Arabidopsis thaliana: one gene and its partners. The protein of the gene in region 4 interacts with the protein of the main gene of each other region in a pairwise test. Each region holds a gene or a part of one and is shown on either strand. Other genes may lie near its edges.

The links.
Region 1: the proteins of HBI1 (region 4) and AT2G28710 interact in a two-hybrid assay, tested with the Arabidopsis thaliana proteins (one large-scale study listed by BioGRID).
Region 2: the proteins of HBI1 (region 4) and AT4G30180 interact in a two-hybrid assay, tested with the Arabidopsis thaliana proteins (one large-scale study listed by BioGRID).
Region 3: the proteins of HBI1 (region 4) and AT1G09250 interact in a two-hybrid assay, tested with the Arabidopsis thaliana proteins (one large-scale study listed by BioGRID).

The regions. Positions count from the first base shown.
Region 1 is NC_003071.7:12,320,490-12,324,238, reverse strand, and holds AT2G28710 (C2H2-type zinc finger family protein), read right to left. Parts: upstream 1,854-3,749; 5' UTR 1,814-1,853; intron 1,292-1,813; 5' UTR 1,266-1,291; coding exon 795-1,265; 3' UTR 655-794; downstream 1-654.
Region 2 is NC_003075.7:14,766,679-14,770,271, reverse strand, and holds AT4G30180 (uncharacterized protein), read right to left. Parts: upstream 1,489-3,593; 5' UTR 1,245-1,488; coding exon 768-1,244; 3' UTR 501-767; downstream 1-500.
Region 3 is NC_003070.9:2,987,454-2,991,183, reverse strand, and holds AT1G09250 (basic helix-loop-helix (bHLH) DNA-binding superfamily protein), read right to left. Parts: upstream 2,044-3,730; 5' UTR 1,676-2,043; coding exon 1,052-1,675; 3' UTR 757-1,051; downstream 1-756. UniProt on the Arabidopsis thaliana protein: Atypical bHLH transcription factor probably unable to bind DNA. Negatively regulates brassinosteroid signaling.
Region 4 is NC_003071.7:7,951,842-7,956,805, forward strand, and holds HBI1 (basic helix-loop-helix (bHLH) DNA-binding superfamily protein), read right to left. Parts: upstream 2,899-4,964; 5' UTR 2,606-2,898; coding exon 2,222-2,605; intron 2,144-2,221; coding exon 1,925-2,143; intron 1,847-1,924; coding exon 1,712-1,846; intron 1,623-1,711; coding exon 1,551-1,622; intron 1,476-1,550; coding exon 1,341-1,475; intron 1,250-1,340; coding exon 1,195-1,249; coding exon of another isoform or gene 1,181-1,194; exon of another isoform or gene 800-1,180; coding exon 705-799; 3' UTR 563-704; downstream 1-562. Other genes in the region: AT2G18320 (F-box associated ubiquitination effector family protein), read left to right, coding at 4,379-4,468, 4,787-4,822. UniProt on the Arabidopsis thaliana protein: Atypical bHLH transcription factor that acts as a positive regulator of cell elongation downstream of multiple external and endogenous signals by direct binding to the promoters and activation of the two expansin genes EXPA1 and EXPA8, encoding cell wall loosening enzymes.

The DNA of each region.
Region 1 (3,749 bases), 4.4 Mb from region 4:
CAAGGATTATGAAGTGGCTAGATTACCTAAATGACTAGAACCATGACTATAATCTGTAATCTCTGGTCTAAAGATCCACATGATTAAAAAAAACTAAACTACCATTACTTGCTTATTCTTATCATGTCTTTCGTACACATAAATGTTTATCATCAACGACTCATTTCAACTGTTTTTTTTTTTGTGTGGAAATTTTGTTTCTTTCAATATAAATTTTGAATACTAATTAGTTTTTTTAACAAAACGTCTACAACGAAAAGAAATCTCGAAATTTCTAGTTAATGACTTTCTTCTTTTTTTCGTTACCAAAAGTTTTAGCAAGTTAATGACAAAAAACTAGATGTCTAATTATAGACAAATAGTAAAACGAAGAGGTCTTATACCCCTACTTATAGACAAAGATGTCCGATTAGTTTATAGAACCAATAACTCTGGAACATGATTCTAATACAAAAAAACTGAAACTAAGAATCTGAACCTAACGTGTATGATTTGTTTGTGGTATCATCCAAGTTCAAAACTAATGTTTTCAGAATTCAAATTATATATGTCTACGTAATCAATGCGACGCTAAAAGAATTCAACAAAATGATTATTACTGAAACAGACTTTATATATATATATATACATAATAACTCGAACAATATAAGATGTATATATCTGTATCTATACATAACGGTATATACCGTAAAGTTGTTATACAAAAAATACTGAAAGTCTACAAAAATAGAAATTATCAGAAAAAATAAACTTACCCTACACAAGTATACCCTAAAAAGAAAAACGAACAAAAATCAGAAAATAAACCTCCCAAGCTCCAACTTCAAATCTTCGTTCTCTAAAGGCGTCAAGTTCAAGTCCAAACACAAAACTCTTTTTCCATTACCACCGCCTGATTTCTTCATCGTCACCGGCGCTGTAGCCGGCGCCAAACTCCGGCCACCTCCTCCTCCTGATCCACCTCTATGCTTCCTCATGTGACCACCTAAGGCCTGCCCTACCGCGAACTCAGCACCACATATGGGACACTCGTGTTTCACCGGTTTGACTCTCTTAGGAGAAGGAGGTGCGTGGCCTTCAAGCGCTGCGGATCGCCGGTGGCTGGCTCGGTGACCTCCCAAGGCTTGGAACGACGGGAACTCTTTGTTGCATGTCTTGCACGCGAAAACACGGCTTTTGGTGTCGTTTTGATGGGCCTTTGATAGAAGAATCAAGCAATTTGCCATGTTGTTTATCATCTCCATATCTGATCTTCCCCTTTCCATTTGACTGATGATTAAAAAAAAAATCACTCTTTTTTTTTTTGGTTGAGAAATGAAAAATGAAAAATGAAACGAAGACTTTGTTGAATAATGAGTTTTGATCGTGTTTATATAAGCGAAAACTTAGCTTAGCTTTTTTGCATTGACTTTAGTTGTGAGACGGAGAGCTGAAATTCTAGTTTTACCCTTTCCTCTTGCTGAATAAACACCTTTTCGTTGACCTTCCACGTTCAATAATAGTTTCGTGTTATTATATACAAAATAGCAAAAAATAAAACAAAAACTGACTATTCCTTTGATTGCTTATTAATCATCATGTTTAACCGATTAGAAACGAGACAGACATGTAAACAGAATCTATAAGGACATGAGTTAGTGCACTTAATTAAGATAAAACTTCTATAACCATACACTAGATGATGGATTTTTAATTAGTGTTTTGGCTAAATGAGTACAACATCAGCTCAACCGATAATGCAGGGAACAAACACATATTCGAATTCAATGTTTATCAACCATCCTAACTAATTAGTATAAAGAAGTTTTTTAACAACAAAAAAAAAAAAAAAAAAAGTTAACAACTGAAAAAGTAAGTTTTTATGAAATCTCCTAAATGAAAGTTAAAAGATATCTACAACAATATATGTAGGAGACATAAATTATTATATTTCGTTTATTATCAATTGGTTCTTTTTTTGTTGTTACAGTTATTATCAATTAGTTATGTATTTAAGTATTTTAAACTCATTAAACATAGCAAAACCCCAATTGATTGATTCAAAGGTTATTGCTAAATTTGTGATGCTGTTTTGGTACCAACCATTGTTATTGTCTTATTGGTAATACAACTGCGTTTGCCACAACACAAATATTGTTATCATCTAACTATCAACATAATTAATATAAAAAAATAAAAATTGTCAACAAGTAACTATGATTTAATATTTCAAAGTGGAGTTAATAAATATATGGTGGTAACTAAACTAAGAAATTAAAGAGATAACACATGGTGTTAGTAGTTGTACTAGTCGATCTTTCTTAGAGAAACAACGACCATGTCCCATCTTCGAGTTGTACCGGCAAAGAGGATTAACCTACTTGCTCAGAACCGTGGCTTAAAACAACTATGATTTTGATTCTTGGTCGATAAAAACTATGGACCGAAATTAAAGTCTAGAAATCTTTGGTAGTTTACAATTGTTTAAAGATAAGATTATATTAGGAAATGGGTATTTTAGTAATTGAAGAGGAAGTACGGCAAGACTTTTGGTACGGCAAGTTGCGATTGAGTCACACAAACGTCATCGCATACCAAACCAAACGACGAGCAGAAAAATAGTCGTGAGTCAGACGCTCTAGAGTGTTTTACTATTATCTAACCTTTCTCTTTATCCCCAGTTCCCCACTCGCACACTCTCACGCATGCATCTCAAACGCTATTTTTTCCAACTTTTCTTTTTGTGTTTCCTCGTGAAGATATAGATTATCTTCATTCAACATCACGCATGAAAATTACGTTACGTGTTATCTCGTATGTTTTAGGTGTTGATTTAATTCTTAGTGAATCGAAACGAATTTTCTGTGTTCATACTTTAATGGGTTTACATATCCAAATTTAGATATGTTCCATATTATAACTAATGCAAATTTTAATTAAATTTTCTCAAAATTAAGAAGTAAAATATTACATAAGCTCATTCTCATTGATTCAAAAAAAATAATACATGAAGATGGTTAAACCATGCCTAAAACCAAAGAGAAAATAATTAAAATACTGGTTTATATATACCATTCACAAATGTATGTAGACATAATGACAAACCATATGCATTAAATATTTTTTCTTTAGATCTCTCTATGTAAAGTTTTTATGGTCGGTCCCTACAATAAGGATGTCCTATAGTACCAACTACCAAAACTTTTCACTCTATGAAATAGAAATTGGACAAGCAAGTTTTATTTATTTTATCAACGGACATGGAAGTCATATACAATTTTATATAAGTGTAAGTGGCTCGACGCCTTGTTTTTTCAATATATATTAACCAACATGGTGGTCATGTGGCTGATTTTATTGATTTATTTTTGGTTTAAAGTCTTATGAATGTGCGGAACAATACTTTTAGTGATAATAAAACAAAATCTTCAATTATATCATTCAACAACCAGCTTGTTTAAATTATACTCCATCTAGTTCTTTTTTGTTTAATTGTTTAGAAAAAACACACATATTAAAAAAATATATTAAATGTTGATTATAAATGTATTATTTTTAGTGTTTTACAGTTTTCTATAACTCTAAACCAATAATAATTAACTATTTTTTTTGAAAATTACAATTCACTAATATTAACCAATAATATTACATGGAAAACTTAAAAAATCAATCTTTTAGAAACAAATTTTTTTTTCTAAACAATCAAACAAAAAGGAACAGAGGGAATATCTGTTTGACTTAGTGTTTAAAAGTTGCTAATTTAGAATATA
Region 2 (3,593 bases), on a different chromosome or scaffold from region 4:
ATAGAGAGATTTGGATGCGTGCGAGTGACTGTGAGACACGTGCAAAGATATGGATGATGACTTCAAATCAATGTTATGACTTTCATAGTTTACACATATGTCATCCAACTTTCCTCCTTTTTAGATATTTACAATTTCGGCGTTTTGTTTTTCATATTCATCGAATTTTTTGGAAAGTAATTCTAGTCCAGTAGTCCTAATTTTTGTTTACATTTTAATGGTGCACCTGTAGTTACTGCAGCTGGAACATATTGGTGATCTCTACTAATGTGTAGCTTTTATTTAATTGAAGATTTGTTACATCTGATTTTTTGTAGTCGAAAGTTCATATGTTTTCGCTAAAGGAGAAAAAAAACTTGCAGGAATATAAATATATACACAAACACAAAGTTTGTCAGGTTAAAATGATTAGAATATTAAAGTTTGGAGATTTGCTCATAACATTAAAATAATAAATTCAGGAAAAAAAGACAACATAAGAGTTTTATTTTAGGCAGCACATCGTCTATTTGGCATTACAACCAATAATTTAAATTTCAATCAGATTTTGATCGAATTTTATAAGATGTACGTATAAACGGCCATGTGTGGTACTTTAGGTATTTCGGTAACCATGATTAATTAAGAAAAGGAAAAAAGAAAAACACTATAATACATGCTCTTGTTCTTAAAGAAATCAAGAGAAAAAAAAAAACACAGATGATTTTCGTTTAAAGACAACAAAAAAAACATGAAACAAACTATAAATTATACACTTAAACTAAAAGTCAAGTACTATCTTGAACAATGGACTTGAGAGCAATCGTCTGCAACTCAAGACATTTAATGTAGTTACCAATCTCACTCAACATTTCTTCCACATTCATCTCTTCCCCACCTGGCAAAAGCTTCTTCAATTCCCTCAGTCTCTCCTCTATCCCTCCTTCTTCGTTTCCGCCTTCTTTATCGGGTCTTTCAAGAATCCGAATTCCATCGGAAGAAGAACTAGTGGTAGTGGTTGGATTCGATGAGGACGATAGCTTCTGCAGCAAGAAACGGCTCCATGCAAATTCTTGAGCAGACAAAGCCAAAGCCATATCTACTTCATGCTTCACGGTTTGTTTTGAAGAGTTCTTGTTCATGTTGAGCTTCTTGAGTGCAGGAACCAAGTGGCTTGTGTATTTTCTCGTGAAAACTGCACTAGGGTTCTTGTTTGGTTCAAGAGAAAACACTCGTTTCTTCCTGTTTATGATTTGCCTCTCCATATGAGAAACTATTTTTGCTGCAAATGAAAGTCTACAAGGGAGAAAGTTACATATATAGCAAACTTAGAATATGAGAGAGACAAAGAAAGAGAAGAGCGGTGTCCTACGTTTGTTTGTATATAACAAGCGTTGATGATGTATAAAGTAAAGTTGTAGAACTTAATTTTCTTTGTATACATATATGAGGTAATATGTTTGGGAGTGTTATTATTTTTCGTTCACGTACAAAACACAAGACTATTTGAAAGTCGTAGTTAGTAGTTTTCTTTTTTAGACAAATATTTTAAAAACAACGGAATTTGAATATCATCAACTAATATATGTTTTTTTGTATAATACATTTATTTTTAGAAAATACACGAAAACAAAAAGAGAGTGTGTATATATATATATATATATATATATATACATAAATAAAGAGAGAAAAATAAGAAAAGAAGAATTTGGGAATAATAATGGGTGAGGGAAGAAAAAACACATGGAGTCACATGCAAGAGCTCTAATTTGGCTGCATCACAACTACCCCTAAAGAGGTGCTTTGAGAGACCCTTTTACCATGTGGCTCCATTCCAAGAACAAGACATCAATACAAAACCCCACCTTCTCTTAATGCTTTCACATGTTCCTTCCTCTTAACCTCTCTCTCTCTCACTCACTCACTCACACACTTTGTATATACATAATACATGTATGCATGTGTATGTGTCCTTGGACCAATCTCCTAATTAGTTTGATCAATCTATGTCATTTCTACCCATATTATCTTAATATAGATCTCCCTCATATTATATATACCATTTGACCTTCTTTTTTTTTATGCTGCATGTGTGATGAATTTGGGTTTCACTACCCACTACTTTTGCGATATTTGGATACAGATGGTAACTTGCTAAACAGAAATTTAGTTATTATTAGTGGTAGTTCAATTGGTGATCTGTACAACATATCAAGACAAACATCTTTGAAACTGAATTTTACTGCCACTGTAACTAATATGACGTAGATACAAGTTTCTTTACTACGCATATTAACATAAAGTTAAGATGCATGTGGTCAGTAATTGGGTTATTAATACGTTTTATTTGTCAAGGACTTTTAGTCGTGATTTTTTGATTCTAAGCATCATTGCATTCCAGGTTTAAAGATGACTTTAATTTTTCCTATAGGATTTGTAAATAGATAAATATAGTTTATGTTGACACAAAAGGTCACCTTTGATATGATATGAAAGTCTGGGTGTTACTCATTTGTTATTTTATTTTTATTTTTTAAAATATATACCGAATCATTTAGATATATATATATATATATATATATAATAATAATAATAATAATAATAACAATAAAATGTCCAAACAATATCTATAACTACTAAACATGGGCGGTTGAGACATTACAAGTTGTCTCTTAATCTTATAGTGTTTGATACATGCAATATACACGTTACTAGCTTTTGTTGTTAATAGCCAAAACTGAATGATCTCTTATTGGTTTTGTTGTGTTCTTTATCCTACCACACAAAAAAAGTCAAGGGTTAGTAGATTATCAATCAATGCAGCAAGGAAATTTTATTTCTCTTTTGTAAATAATCTTTTTTTTTGTTAGAATGTGATGTTTTCTCGTATTATATTTTAATGCAATCCCATAACCTTTGATTGAATGTGGAAAACATGTGTTAATGGTAACCCATCTAGATGAAATTAATTAATCTATAAACTTTACTAAATACAAGTAGATAAAAGTACATAAAGGTAGAGGAATTTTCTAGTTAAAAACAAACGAAATAATATATATATATATATTGGATATATATATATATATATATATAATCTAAGAGGAGAAAGAAATTGAGATGCAAACTAATAGATGTGGATACCAAAATAGATACTAGACATTCACACCTATAGTAGACATTGAACAATAATGCATATAATCATAAAAGTTTCTTGGAATTTTGCTTAATGGTTTTCCACCTTTGACAATCCACGTTGAAAAAATGACCGAATTAAATGTAACTCTTTCCAATCACACAATCAAGCTAGGTAAAACCAGATTCGTAATTATTCAACAGTATCTTTACGTAAAAAGATATATAAAGGAACAATAATGAATACAACCAACTAATGCCAATAATATTAAAATAGTATAGAACTATTTTGTCTGCAGTATGAACCACAAAGAAATCGTACAAAACTGTCAGAATGAATTGTACAAGGTCTGTGGAGATTTCTATCGAATATTGTAGATGGCATGTTATGACTTGTTTGTGCTGTTCTTAAATTTTGTTTTCTCTTCTTTATATAAGTTTTTTAAAAAGAAATAGTTAAACTGAATTAAAAAGGTGTAAGC
Region 3 (3,730 bases), on a different chromosome or scaffold from region 4:
ACCTATCTATCTCAGTTGACAAATATCTTTGAAATACAACCATAAATTAGTTTTTTTTAAGTTTCATCTAACATGTACTTAAAATATATATATTTAAAACCTATAGCACATCCTCCAAGCTCGATCCAAGGACTTATCAAGATGGATTTTGTGAGAAATCTTCTTATATAACTTGGAAGACACAATGACCCACAAACATGTTGCCATTTAATTTGATATACAACAAAAAGGTGTGAATGCTTTTGAAAGACATATTGGGTGTTAAAAGAAAGAGCACACGTGGGGAGTCTTAAAGAGGGAAAAAAGATGTTCCAAGAGACTCATTTCTCAATCTTATTGTTTCCTCTTCTTTTGGTTCCATTTTTGTGGTCCTTTTTGCTCACCACTTCTTTCAATGTTATTCCTAGTGGATTTCTTCTGACAACTAACTTTTACTAACTTGTATTTTATACCATAATCATCAATTTTTCATAATGTCAGTTCTCTTGAAGAGTCGTATGCTACTCCTTGTTATCATAATTAATGTTGACATTCAAGTAAATGTTTTTTTCTAATCAGTTTGAAAGATTTTGAGGGCATTTTGAGCAAAAAATACACTTTTCGACATAAACTTCAACGTCGGAAAAAGTCTTTGAGAATCACATGGAGTCCATTGGCCCCAAAATTAAGGTGGGTGTCCTCAACACGTTACACGCACATGCTCATTTTTGAATTGCTTCAACTTGCAAATTATTTGTTCTTCTCCTTACTTTTTAGTTTCTTTAATTTGTAGGTCTAATTTTTTTTTAAAGCGTTAAACAATTTTTGGAATCGACATTAGTTGGCATTTTGTTGTTGTTATTGTTTAGATAACTTTGATTATCTAACGAAAAAACAAAGAAAGATCAAAATGGATACAAAAAAAAAGAAGTGATGATGTATACAAATAAAATACATGAATTTAATAAATTAAAATCGCGTCGACGAGAAAAAAAAAACACTTGAAGCCAAAATAAAGGGGTAAAAAGGTAAAAGAAAAGCTAATTAACAACTGACAAACTAACTGCCGCCGTTAAGTTCCGGTCAACGTCGTCCGTGGTGCGGCTGCGGTTAAAAGTTCGGCGAGAGCCTCCATGGCTCGAACCTGCATCTCTAACGCTGCGATGTAATCGGTCGCTTCATCTAAAAGATTCGGTACAGAGACTTTCCGGCAACCAGGAACCAAACGGCCAAGAATCTTCAGTTTTCTCTCAACCGCCGGTAACTTAATCCGATTCGTCTCCGTGAGACCTTTTCTCGATTTACAATTTCCCGTTGACTTTTTCGCCTTTCTATGTTTCTTCAGCTTCGCTCGGACGCGACTCGCTAAAATCGCTCTGCTCCACCGAGTCGTACCACGAGCGGACGCAGCTAGAACTCGATCCGCCGTATCACGTATCTCCCTCGCCGCGCCGGAGACGAGTTTATCGGTCTCGTTGTTGCTGGTGGTGGAAGATCTCTGACGAACTCGGCGTAAAGCTTCGACGAGCTTACAAGCGTAGATCTGTTGCACACGATTCGTTTTCCATCTCTTCAAGCTTTCTTCGTTGACACGTCGTGCCTCTATCTCCGCCTCCGCCGTCTCTGATATCCTCGGCTTCTTTCTTCGAGACGATTCACCTGTGTTTTCGATGCTCGGGAACAGAGACTCCACCATTAAATCCGATTTAAAACCAGAGATTCAAAGAAACCGATGATAAAAGGCAAAAACAACAATCTCTTCTTCTTCTTCAGATTCTGAGAGTCTCTCTTTCTCTCTCTCTCTCTCTCAATGTGACTAGTTAGAAACAAGAGAAGATGAATGGAGAGAGATCAGTTTTTATATCTCTGCCAATCGCCAGCGGAGCTATAACACTTAATTCCACTTTTGCCCTTATTTACCGGTATTTGTTTTTTGTGTTTTTTTTCATTAGTTAAAAATCTTTTGTTTTTAATCTTTTGTCATTCATGTGATTGTTCTTTATCTTTTTGCCTTGGCATGAAGCTCCAAAATTATGCCCTTTAATAGTCAAAATGCTGAGCGATGCAAATATATTTTCTATGTTTATACATTGTAACTCCAAAGGTCAAAGAATATAGACGATTGATATATATATTTTTGATAAGTTGAGAAATAAAGGGTGATGTTGAATCTTTTGTTTCAAGTGGTTGCGGTAGAATTCATGTGGTTTTATTTTATTTTAAAGGTAAGCAGAGAAAGGGAAAAAAGCACTCAGAGAGTGAAATAAGCAAAAGAGAAAAGAAAATTTACCAAAAAAGCATTCCATGTGACCATTTTCATGGCGCTGCCATATGAGAAAAAAGGATCTCTTTTGTGTGACCTTTACTCATTTGTAATGTTGTGGACAATTTTCCGCCAACAAATTCTCTCCTTTGCCGTTTCCCACTATTTTGTGTGTGATTTGTATGTTTCTAATTGATATCTCAATCTAAAGAGTAATGAGTAGTCTACAAAGGAAAAACAAAAATAAAATTCAAGAGTAATGAGTAGTATATGTATATTGTCTTCATACCATAGTTTAGAAAATATTTTTTCTTGACAAAATTCGATCCTTCGTAACGGTGAATGTCATTGTCAATTTGTCATATATCACGAGGGAATTATTAGTTCCTACACCAAGTTCTAAATCTTAAACAAACCATGATCTAAATTCTATAGTAACTAATGTAAAACATTTACTTTTCTTGATCAATTCGTTTTTGGCACCTTGCTATGGAAAACACGAGAGAAATGTTTTAGCAATTATGAGTTGACACTAAATATTATAAGTGCATTTTTGTAGTAAATGTGTGATTTATACCAAAAAAAACAAGAAAAAAAAAAAGAAGATCTTGAAGAGAATCTAAAAGGGCCCTTTTCTCTGTAATTGGCCAGAGAGGCTTGCCCCCTTAATTGAGACATCGTCTCCATGTCTCTTCCTTTTCTTAATATTTTAACCACGCTCAAATATTTCTTCTCCGACTCTCTTAATAATACTCACCAAATTTTTAAACTGGAACCCATTGATATATGTGGTCGTAAGCTTTTCTTGTGCGTGTATATTTTTTAGATTCTAAAATATCACAAGATTCACAGCGCACATATGACACCAAAAAAAAAAAACACATGTCTATATGCATCAGACCAATTATGGAATCTCCCAAGGAACAAAAACATGCTCATTCGTGAATACAGTATCCAAGGTGGGGAAGTTAAAGACTAGATCTTACTCAGGAATTCATAAACACTGAGGTCAAAATCGAACAACATCACACAAAGGAAACAGCTCTCTTGGATCAAGTAACTTGTCTTTGCTATGTGGTTGCGTTGCTTTTCAGTTATTACCAGGAGCCTTCTGTACCTACTGTTGGGTTTGTGAACGCCTTGGCCCCTTTATAAAGTTTTAAATCTAGTCCATTAAGGCTCATTTATCGTTAGACTTACTGGGCCTGTATAGGCCCGAGGACAGATGTTATTTTGTTATGTTGAAATCGGGAGTTCAAATTTTCGAAATCTTCCGTATTACAAGATACACTTGTCCTGTTAAAATAGTACACTTGCAAGATTTTTTTGTTATATCTTAAATATTTTGGTTTTAGTTAGATGTTTGTGGATCACCTATGATTTGTAAGGTTGAATCCATTGGGATTGGTCAACCATACTTTTTTCGGCAATACCTATATATTAATAATTCATGTTTGTGTTTCAATTTAACTAATTTTAGTTAAGGCC
Region 4 (4,964 bases):
TAAAACAACGTCCGATTTTATATATGTTCACCAATTTCATAAAGAATTCATGAATTTGCCATCACTCGAGAATCCAATTTTCTTATTTGTTATAAAAATGTTTACTAGTGTAGTTTTTAAATTAACAAAAATTTATTTGACACTAACTAATATCCAAAAAAAAAATAGAAATAGAAGAATCCTACTCGATGATGTTTTATTTGACAAAATTTTATTTGACACATACTTCACATTTGATGATGTTTGCTTTTTACAAGAATCCTACTCGAATATATGGTTAATCTTTAGCAAGAAAATAGAAGAATAAATGAATAACCTCTCCCGAATCTGTGAATAGTCGATGAGCTGTTTCCAAACGAAATTTTTTTCTTTTCTTTTCATCTAAATGTGCATTGAGAGTCATCATTCGGATTCAACATCCAAATTCAACGCCATGATGTTGGTTATGAATTTTTAAAGAATACAATGCAATCTTGTATCAAAATAACTAAAGACAACATCTGTTTAAGCTATTAGTTTTTTTTCTTATGATCGATTTAATTTTACATAAATTAAATAGCTAGAAAATAATTTGTATTCAATGAATAAAATTTTATGTGAAGATAAAATCGACATTGATTAATTGGCTGCCTAGATACCGTTTACTTTGATCATCAAAAGTATTCTTCCACCGATTTATAAAAAATCATGGCGACCTAATAACTCTATACCCATACCCTTCGAATGGGAACATATTGATGGGTACATTTCGTTGACAATAGAATCTTAGATATTTTATTGTAATTACCACAAGAGTTTTCTTAGATATTCGTTGCAGAAAAAAAAAACAGGAAAACGATTTATAATTTTCTTAGATATTTATATATCCAAAAAAACAAACAAGAATTGTAATTACCACAAGAGTTTTCTCTCTTTCTTCTACAAATATGATATATATCTATAACTCCTCTAAAACATATTTATCTATCTCTCTATATAATCTATACACAAAGATTGATGGTGACAAGATCATTGGATTGCTATCTCCAGTTCTTCTGGTTTAAATATCAGAAAACAAGGATCAAAGGATAATGCATTAACCAAATTTCGAAATTACTACTTTGATGAGCAAATGTAATAGAATTTGCTTCTGATTTTGATGATTGATTGATGTCAACCATGTTGTTTCAATGAATCTTGCTTAGTAATGAAAACCGAGGCTAGATGTGTTGTAGAGACTCTGTGATTGAGTTTCCCAGCTTCCAGATGGCTGAAATAGAGAGATACAGAGACAGGTTACTTCACTGACAAGGAACAAAAACTCTGACAAGTTTTTCAGTTTCATATAAAGCTGTACTTACAGCTTCGATAGATGTCGTTTGGTTCGGGTTTATCGCAGACAAATCTAGAGATCCTTGCTGGTCTAACGGAAACAATGGCACATCAACCATTATTGATTGCTTTGAAGCAACTACATTTGTAAAGTAAGCCTGAAACTGAAAATTTCATAACCCTTAAGTTTGTTGAGCAATATCAATATGACTTTGAGGGTCTAGACAATGTGTTTTCACCTGTTTTACGGATACATCTTCCACGGCAAGCTCTAGTTCCGGGTTCAAGACAGCAAGTTTCATCGACAGGAACTGCAAAGTATGGCTCTTTAAGAATTAGACTTATTCTCTTTGGTTAATAGTGAAGTTAAGTTACAGAGAATCATGGTTTCATTGCTTACCTCGACTTGTCTTTGGAGACATTGAACATAATTGATGATCTCATCAAGCATACCAGCTTTTCCTGTGACCTTATTGCATCCAGGCACAATATCTTGCAGATATTTCATTTTCTTGCTGATCTTTTCTCTTCTCGCCTGCAAATCCAAATCCATTCAGAAACCCTAGATATATCATGATTCTTGTATCACAAGAAACTTATTTATTTTTATTACCCTTTCTGCTAAGCTGTGTCTGTCAGTGGCTTGGCCTCGACGAGCTCTCACGTGGATATAATCTAATTTCTGATTCTCTGAAGCTCCTTTCGATGTCTCCTTTGAAGTGTCTGAAGATGCTTCAGTGTTTCCCATGTTTGATTTTCCTTTCATGCTTGACTCTGTCTCAGCCTCTACTTTGATCTTCTTCTCTGTCTTTTGCTCTTCCCTTGTCTTAACCTAAGACATTATTAATAAAAAATATCAAAAACCATGTCTCAAAACAAAGTTTTTATCCAAAATTTTGATCTTACAAACCTCTGGTTTTCTCTTGTTCTTCAAGGCAACGGCTCTGGTTTCTTCACCGGTCTTCAACAAAACCTCCATTGTATCCACAGGTTCCATATGGCAGCTACTTGTTCTTGAAATGGATTCATGTGGAGGACCAAAACCCATGTTATAGTTTGGTCCAAAACCAGATCCAAGCATTTGAAATTGGCTGAAACTACTCTCCAACAACTCATCATTGTTGCTTCCATGGAACTGAAGTATCTGAAGAAGTTCAGGTGAATTATTACTGCTATGGGACACAACTTGTTGCAGTTGCTGTTGTTGCTGTTGTACCCATTTAAGCCTTTCAAGTACAGACATGTCCATAGAGTTTAAGGACAAGCTTTCTTGAGAGACAAGACCTTCCAACATATTGTTCTCTGCAGAAATCTTTCAACTTATGATCTTTTAAAGTGAGACCAAAAGTACAAAACAAAATAGAGAATGGGAAAAAATGCAAAAAAGCTCTGAGTTATTTGGTGGGTTTAAAGCAAAAGAGGATTTGCTATAAATGTATGAAGAAGTAGAGATTTAGGTTATGTAATATTGTTTTTGGGTGGTTGCTTAAAAAAGATGAAAGAGTTGGGAGAAACTAATCCATTGAAATCATTCTTCTTAGCTTTAAATAGAAAACAACATTGACCCACACACATAAGGTCCCCTACTTCTTATGTTTTTATTTTATTTTCCTTTATAAATGTAGAAATTTCATTTACTTATTTGTTATCTCTTACCTCTCTAGAAATAAATACTCTCTTACCAATTCAAAATGGTACCACACGTTTTTTATACGCCACAACTTTTTTATACGTATCCCTTAAAAAATATATAGCAATAACAATAGTTTTCTATTTTACGTAGATGTTCAACATAACATTTGTATCGGATTTGAGACCGATCTTTTATGATAAGTTTACGAAAATGGTCGTACTGTAGCTATGTGATAGTCACAAATGACAGTGAGATAGATTAAACGTTAGCGTTGGTGGATAAATCGGGTCCATCGTTTAGAGACACTTGACTATGACTAGGAGAAAAAAGAGGCTCAAGAACAAATTGCGGAAAATAGTAGTAAAGATTCGGTATCTAAGAGAGAGAGGGACATAAATTGATAAAAGAAAAGGTTGGGAGCAAAGAAGGTGAGAGGAGAAGGTGTAGGGTCTAAGTGACATAACCCACACCATGTGGGCATGTCCTTATGAACACTAAATTTAGAGGTTCTTTATCCCTTCTTTGTGTGTGTTATGTTTTCTTTTTTTTCTTCTTCTTTTTTGCCCTTTCAAGTTTATGAGAGGAGCTTTACAAGGAAAAAATAAACAATGAGTGAGACCTTAACATATATTGACATTTGGAATAGTCAAATTAATTGAATTCAATCCAAACTAAAATTCAGAAAATTGATTGTTTCTATAAAACTTACTTACAAAGTAAAACCCAAACAAACTACATTGAATCCATGTAACAAAACTTATATTAAAAAAAGTTTGACCGCAAAATTTGCATCATGACATTATTGACATGTAGTCTAATAGTTTGTATTTTGTGTTGTAAATTGTAATTGTATCAGTACAAAAAAAAAAAAAACTGAAAAGAAGAAAACATCGCTAGAGAGAGGGGTCGAACCTCTGACCTTGTGGTTAACAGCCACACGCTCTAACCAACTGAGCTACTCCAGCTTATTGATAACAATAATATATAACTAACTATATTCAGTTAGTTTGAAATAAAGACACAAGACAAGATCATGCAAAAGATCTTGTCATCTTGGGTTTTCCATAAAAGAATCAAACGAAAATCCATGAGTAGATAGATAATACAGCAAGACAACAAAGAACAGTATACCACCAACCATTGAATATTTTAGAAATTAATCTATAACATGACATGTTAATAATTAAAAGCGACATCAAAATATATTTAAAATATATAAAGAAAACAATGGGTTTGAAGATAAGTGATTGGAAGGTAGGAGACCATTGCTTTTGATCAGAGTGTTTGATCATATTCTTCTGTCTACTAGAGTGTGGGCTTCCAACCTAAAACCAATTGGCAATAGGTGGAGAGACCCATATCTTATATATACCACTTAAGATCCTACTTAACTTCCGATGTGGGACATTGTCCCTAATACGCCCCCTCGAGATGATGGCTCTTCTAGCCATTGATCTCGATATGTTTGGGCATGGATCGGCGGGCCAAGTATTGGGCCGGACCGATGTGGATCGGGTTGAGTATGTGCGGATCGGGCTCTGATACCATATTAGAGTGTGGGCTTCCAACCTAAAACCAATTGGCAATAGGTGGAGAGGCCGCTATCTTATATATACCACTTAAGATCCTACTTAACTTCCGATGTGGAACATTGTCCCTAATAGTGTCCTTCTCCATTCACTGTTGTAATACTATTAAAGTTATAAGTTTACCCACTTCCAAATTTCAATCACATTCATAAGAACTGCAAAACGAGCGATTTTTTTTTTTTTTTGGATTTAAGTTCTTATAAGTTTTCCATTGTGAAAAAGTTAGCTAGTTATGTTAATATTATACATGTAGCAATATAGCACAAAGTCATTACTTTCAATCTACATAGTTGGACCAAATTGAATCAACTTTATAACATTGGCTGCATTAATGATTTTTTTCCTAAAAAATACAAGTCATGATATAATTCTTAAGGTTTCTCACATCTAAGATGTATCTGTCTAACAATATTAAGTTGTTTCTTTTTGAT